Linked DNA regions of Tribolium castaneum. The protein of the gene in region 1 interacts with the protein of each later gene in a biochemical or structural test. Links are inferred from orthologs where the notes say so. Each region holds a gene or a part of one and is shown on either strand. Other genes may lie near its edges.

Region 1 (3,876 bases):
AAATAGAACATTCCATATATTTTTGCATAATTAGATTCTACACAAAAAAATAATGTAACTTTTTATAAATTTTTATGGGTATATGTTTTTTCGTTTCGTATTCAACTTTTGGTTATAAAAAAAAACAATTTTTGAAAAATCACTGCGAAGTCGTCTTTGAATATTTTAGAAAAAAAAAATAGAAAAATTTACAATACCTTGCAGTGTTAACAAATAGATGATTTTTAGTTAAAGCACGCTGCTAATATACAGAGTGTGCCAAAACTCAAAAAGTTGATTAACTCATTTTTTTCAACTAGAACACCATGTATTTTTTTATGTATTGATAGCATTTTTGATAAGCTTTCTAACGATATGAGGTTTGCATAGGAAATTTAAAATATTTTTCGAGGTTTTTTAAAAAATTATTTTATTACAAGAAAATTTGTTAATCTAGTATTTTTTCTTAAAAATGTACTAATGTGACTAAGTACATTAGTAATCTTAGTATTATTTGATGCATTAATATATTTTGCTCATCAAGAATTAATAATAAAATAAAAAAAAATTAAACATTTAAATAAATACTTCAAGTTTGGTTGTTCCAACTTTATTGTTCTATACATAATCTAGAACATTTTCAGACTGTCCAAAAAATATAATTTTTCCAAATTTGTTTTCAACAACTATTTCTTCAAATTTGGAAGCAAAAAATAGTCATTGTAGGCCACTTCGAAATTTACTCTAAATTTGAGTTAATTGTATCAGAAAAAGTCGTTTGAGTAATTTAGAGTTTGGGGTCAGCTTTATCATAAATCCCTGTAATGATCCCTTTCATTAGCACTTGTTTCTGGTTTTGAAAGGCCGTATTTGTTTCCAGATCGTTGTCAAGAATCGTCTCGTTCGCACCTCCGTTGTGAATCGGTTCCGTTTTTGCATCGAAAATAAAAACGGCGTCGTCGGCGTGATGACATCGCCCCGTAATGGGCCAAAGCGAGAGGTAGAGCGTAATTAGAAAAACATATCGCTGACTGGTCGTGGCAGGCGGGGAGAAAAGCGTCGCGGGAAAACCCCACGCGCACTTTTCCAGCTGCGGTCCACCGCCACAGCATCACAGCCGTGATTTTTCATCGCATTTCCGCGCGGTGCGCTGGCCGCGTCATGCCGCGAAGAAGTTGACCTCCATGCATCTCGCGACGGGAGAAGTCACCTCCACCACCGGTCACTACGACCGGAGCTATGGCAATCTGACGGCGGAGATGCTCGCCGAGAGGACCATCGACGGGCTGCTGGCGGAGCACCCGGGGGAGCTGGTGAGGACGGGCAGCCCGCACGTGGTCTGCACGGTGCTGCCGCCGCACTGGAGGTCCAACAAGACGCTGCCGGTGGCCTTCAAGGTGGTGGCCCTCGGCGACGTGGGCGACGGCACCGTCGTCACGGTCAGGGCGGGCAACGACGAGAACTATTGCGCCGAGCTGAGGAACTGCACGGCGGTCATGAAGAACCAAGTCGCCAAGTTCAATGATTTGAGGTTCGTCGGCAGGAGCGGAAGGGGTGAGTTTGAGGAGGGGGTTGTGGCTGGGTTTGGCACTTTTCGACAACAAAAACACGCGTGTTTATACAAAAATTGTTTTAAATCTTATTCTCTTCCACGAATTTTTGTAAATTCCAGGTATGTTAGAGCGGACAGCGATAGCTGTAATTAAAAAATACTGTCATCAAATCAGTTTGATTTTGCTAATAATAACTGTTTTTTTTTAATCTATATTTTTTATTATATTTATGTTATACTTCTTATTCAAGACGATAAAATTGAATTGGAACGAGAGGAAAGCAGCTAAATCAAATTATTTTAGCTAGTCAATAATTAACAAAATCGATATAAACTTCAATAAATTATAGAGTTGAACAATTATTGTGGAAGAACCAAAAGAGAGTTATGGAACGTTTCGTCTTATTACATTAGACATCATCAGGCTGAAAAACAAGTAATTATATAACACCACTTGCAGAAAAAAAATCCATTATTGCCAACGTTTTTATAAAAAATTAACGTAACGATTTTACGCATTTTTATTACAACAGCAGAAATTATATTTTACATACAGCCTGTTCCGTATAAATTCCACATTTAAAATATTGAAAGTTCTAATAAAGATATTTATTTGAAAGTTGGTACTCAGCCATAATCTGTTAAGTTCTGCTCAATGAATATATTTTCAAGATGGTAGCACTTTTGGTTATACCGGAAGTCGCCATCAATCTTCTTATTTCAAATGGAAAGCTACGTTTTTCAGTGCGTTTTTGCATTAGTTGAGTTATTTTAGACCGTTTTTATCAGTTTACTCGATTTCGAGATTTTTAAAATTTTTTGAAAATTTTTGGATTTGCACCTATCACTTAAAAAATCGGTAATTCTGTCAGTTTTAGAGATTTCAAAATCATATTTGAAAAATTAAAAGAGAAAGCCTACATCTGTTCTCCAGTTTGTTCAAAATTGAAAAAGAAGTTAACAGACCCAAAAATTTTGAAGTTAAGTTTGGACAACTTATAACTTATAACTTATTTTTTTTAAATGGCATGTTTCAATTTTTCTTTTACTAGATGAAAGAGAATTTTTTCTGCATCGACCTAATTAGGTATTTTTTAATTTTGCATTTTGCGCAATAAGTGAGGTTTTGACTAAAAAATTCACTGAGACTTTAAAAATGTTTTAACATAATATAATAGCGAGTTTAATTTTGTGCAAAAATGTTTGAAAAATGGCGTAAAATTGACTATACAAAAAAAAAGAACAAAAAATACACAAATTTTATGATTTTTGGGAGACTTATAATGAAAAAAAAATAGTATCGGAGTCAAAAGCAAACAGCAAGTCATAATAAGGGTAAAAATAGTGACATTTTGATATTGAAGTTTTTTGATTTACAATTTTTTAAAATATGATTTTTTTTAAATCAAATGTCTACTGACACACATGAAAAATGTCAAAAAAAATGTTTTCTGTACTTTAATTTAGTGGTTTTTTTATTGAGTTTGAAAATTTAAGTAATAAATTAAGAAAAATGCAGGAAATATGCCGACTTAGAAAGTAAAATATGACAGAAGCACAAATAAGAGATTCTAAACGTAAACAAGAAAACGCTTAAAATCGCTAAAAACTAGAAAATAATGCAGCAAAAGGTACATAAAAACATTAAATTGTAGACGTAGGACTGTAACTTGAAAAATGTAGAAATGCTGTTTAATTATCTTAAGAGAAAAGGATGTAAACGTAAGAGGTTAACGTAACTTTAAATGTAAACGTGAACATAACTTTTTCTTAAATTACAAAAAAAATCTGGAGCTAAAAAACATAAATATTTTTGTATTAAGAACAATAAATGAAGGAAGAAAAACTTTTATTTTTTAATGTAGCAATATAAAAGTTAAATATATTTAAGTATTCTTGGTATAGTAGACAAAGTGCAGTTTATTTTGTTTTTTTGAGGCAAATTAGAAATTTATTCGTACATAAACTACAAAGTTTTCTAATTATTTATTGTTTTGATGAAATCTAAAAAAGGTGGCAAAACGTTGGTAGTAGTAAATAAAAAACCAAAAAAAAATAGTTGTAGCTCATTTGAATAATTAACAACTTGTAATATTACAGTGGCTATTTTTATGGACTGGTTGATTTTCATACTTAAACTGATGCTAATATTATAAAAAATTCGACTTTTTGTGTTGTCTTGACTTATACTCTGGATTTATTATTATGCTTTAGTTTAGATTATAAATTTAAAACACTGAAGGATAACAAATTAAAATTTTATTAGCAAATTTTTTAATATTTGAAGATATAGATGCTGTTTGAATGTTTAATAATGATATAAAACTGAAGACCCGAGAATTAGT
Region 2 (3,398 bases), about 3.5 Mb from region 1:
AACTCAGTGGTGTTCCGTTACTCCCATGGGAACCCCCGCCACTAGTTCACAATATCTACGCCAGTGAGGTGATGTCGCATCCGGTGGTTACACTGAAGTGTGTTGAGAATGTGGGGCATATTGTTGAATTGTTGAAATTAACAACTTATAACGGATTTCCGGTTGTTGATCCGCCACTAACTGATCAATCGGAAGTTACCACGTATGGGAGAATAAGAGGGTTAGTTTTGAGGTCACAATTAATTGTTATTTTGAAAAAGAAGATTTTTAACGAAAATTCGGACTTTTGGGAGGATATTAATGCGGGAATCTTTCGAGATGAGTATCCCCGATATCCAACAATAGAGGTAGTGGTATTTCTCTCGCCCTTTCCTTTTTAAGTAATTAAGTTTAATTCTTTAGCAAGTGAGTGTTTCCGAAGTTGAAAAAACTTATTCTATTGATCTGAGGCCGTTTATGAATCCGTCACCATATACGGTGCTTCATGTAATTAAAAAAACAAGTAATTAGCATTTAATCATTTTTTTTTTTCAGTCGGCATCACTACCTCGAATGTTTAGATTATTCCGAGCTCTCGGTTTACGACATTTGCCGATTGTTAATGACACAAATGAGGTTATAGGAATGGTAACAAGGAAAGATTTAGCTCGTTATAGAGTCTGGAGACATCGGGGTCGCATGGGGGTAGAAGAATTATTAATTTCCAAAGAAATATGACCGCTTACAGTATTATGATATGATGATATAGTTTCACGAATAATTATGTTGTCGCTTTTGACAAAAGAATTTTATTTATTGTTAATTAAAGACTTTACCCATTTTCCATTGTTTTTATTCTAACCAATTTTTTTTAATGAATTCACTACTTGTTACTGAGACAATTTTTATTAATAAAAATGTGATAAACTACATAAAATAAAACAAATCGCGCTAAATCTACCGTAAATAATACAATTCAAATGGCTCCATACAAAATATGGTCACAGTATTAAAGCTACAACTATGAATATCTCAGCACCAAAATATAAAAAAATCACTCTGGTGTATAATTTTTATAAAAAAATATAAATCGTACTCTATCCTTAAAACTGTCCCGCAATGATGGGACAGCCAGCATTCACATGTTCCATCACTTCCAATTTGAGCATCCCCACGTGTTCCTTCAACTGGTTGACCACTGAAGCCAATTCAACATTCTCACTTTTCAACAGTTTGACTTTATCCTCCAATTTCGAGATTCGTTCCAATTTGCGGGAACGACATTTAGAGGCTGCGAGTCTATTCCTTTGTCTCTTTCGCTCCAATTTCATTCTTTCCTGATATTCCATATCGACAGGAGACATTGGGGGCGTATTATTCACGTTGGGCACCGTTTGGGGCTCCTCTTTGATCACAGGCATGAAATTCTGCTGTTCGCTGTAAACCGTACTGGCATTACTGTCAGAACCTTGCTGAGAATTGCCATTGTGAAGATAATTAAGCGCTTCGACGAAACCGCCTGCAAACTTCTCTTGCTCCACAGTGACGTCCCGCGGGAAGATAAGTGAAGGGGAAGGCGTGTGTGAAATATTATTCGCCAAGATGATGTTCTCAATGGTGGGTGTGTCCACTTTGAGGAGGTCAGGGGTATCTACTTTGAGGACGGACGTGATGTCGGGGGATAACGATAGGTTCATGTTCATTTTCGACTGATTAAGATCAAGAGTGAGATTTTTCTTCATGTTACTGAGGTTTTTTTGCTGACTTTCAAAGTTGGGTCCGCTCATTTTTTTTATCAATTATTTTTGTACAATTCCCAACCTAACCACGACCAAAGATTGAAAAATAGGTAAACAGGCACGACGACCAAAGCCAACAGTGAATAATAAACGGAATCACTAATTTCCATAAAATCTGAAATGGAAATTTTAGGTTAAGTTACGTCAATAGCAAACAAAAGAATATCGAGAAATGAAGATTCTCGAAGAAGAAAACAAAGTGAAGGTCTGTGAGGTGTCCCTCAAGCATTACTTGGTAAAAAAGTAAATAATGAATCTTTAATATTATAACACTTACTTTAACACCACATTCAAAAGCAAAGCGCTTTTATTTGTAATGACTCACAATGTAGCACAACACTGGCTTGAAAATTTCTTGAATATAACTTTTAACTTCTTGTGTAGTATTGTTCTCGAAATACTACAGAATACTAACAAATACGACGTAATAACTTTCGATATGAATGAGTCATCCCTTTCATGGATTTTCAGAAATGAGAATGACGTCATGTCGAAATGATTCGCTAAAGCGACACCTAGACAATTCTACAGGAAACTGACCGCAGTGTTTTACGGGTTGCCAACATGATCTTTGAACCCCATCTTACCCCATCCAAAAAATACGATTTAAGAAATGAAAAGACAGTGATATTAACGACTAAAGTTTTAGCCGATTTTCATTCAAAAATTGTGATTTAATTTACAAAAAAACTTTGGAAACAAAGAAAAAAGTGTAAATATTTTATATTCTGTCCGACTTTAAATGCGATAAGTACTACAAAATAAAAACAAATTATGGTAATAACCAAATAGATAACTATTTTTAATTATCATGCGAGGAAAAAACCTTTATTTAGAAAATGTATGATAAGAAGCATTGGCACTAAAATAACAGAAATTGTAATAAAGAGATCAACAATAGTTGTCTATTTCTTCAAAATGACGAAAAAATTCCTAACCTGCTTTATTTGTAGCGTATGAGCTAGTTTGCCTAGGGTAAACACAGTTCCCTTGACCTTAATAGGATAATTCATTTAAATTACTTTTTCGATCAAAATACGTCCCCGAGTGTATGCATCAAGGAGCTCCTTGGTCCGTCCTTGGTATACATCAACGGTTCATAGGTTAAAAAACCCAAATAAAATTGATTTGCAAATAATAATTCCACAGGGAATATTTGCCACTTCCTGTCTCGCCTTCGCAAAGCGGAAAAATGGATGGTGTTATTCAACGTGTTATTTCATCAATTGCAACAAATTTGGACGGATATGGTGAATTATCCAATTGTATCAAACGGTTTCGTAATACTAATTAGGATAATAAATTAAAGGGTAGACACAACTTTGCAGACTTTGCAACACGAACGAAACATTTTTTTTTTCGGAAAAAAAAAACTATGTAGGAGTTAATCGAGCCACATCATAGCAAATCAGTAACACGTATACGCCAACTTTTTTTTTTGTAATTACGGAAATGGTAACCCTTCTTCACTTCAGTTCATTTACTATCAATCAATAAAAATTGAAAAAACAATCCGTTATATTTTTCTTAAACGCAGATCGCACTTTATGAATCTTTCCGTTAGAATCAAGGTTTCGCGCAGGCCCTATTTGAAGCTGCATTCAGTCTTCATATTGAACT

Evidence for each region.
Region 2: the proteins of runt-related transcription factor 3 (region 1) and Jra form a complex in vitro, tested with the Homo sapiens proteins (2 studies listed by BioGRID). The link is inferred for Tribolium castaneum from reciprocal best matches to the Homo sapiens genes RUNX1 and JUN.

The regions. Positions count from the first base shown.
Region 1 is NC_087399.1:3,629,797-3,633,672, reverse strand, and holds part of runt-related transcription factor 3, read left to right. Parts: intron 1-859; 5' UTR 860-1,163; coding exon 1,164-1,533; intron 1,534-3,876.
Region 2 is NC_087399.1:145,761-149,158, forward strand, and holds Jra (Jun-related antigen), read right to left. Parts: upstream 2,200-3,398; 5' UTR 2,056-2,199; intron 2,008-2,055; coding exon of another isoform or gene 1,935-2,007; intron 1,894-1,934; coding exon of another isoform or gene 1,775-1,893; 5' UTR 1,767-1,774; coding exon 1,083-1,766; 3' UTR 867-1,082; downstream 1-866. Other genes in the region: ClC-b (H(+)/Cl(-) exchange transporter 7), read left to right, coding at 1-347, 403-486, 535-717; phosphatidylinositol N-acetylglucosaminyltransferase subunit Y-like, read right to left, coding at 1,775-1,893, 1,935-2,007. UniProt on the Homo sapiens protein: Transcription factor that recognizes and binds to the AP-1 consensus motif 5'-TGA[GC]TCA-3'.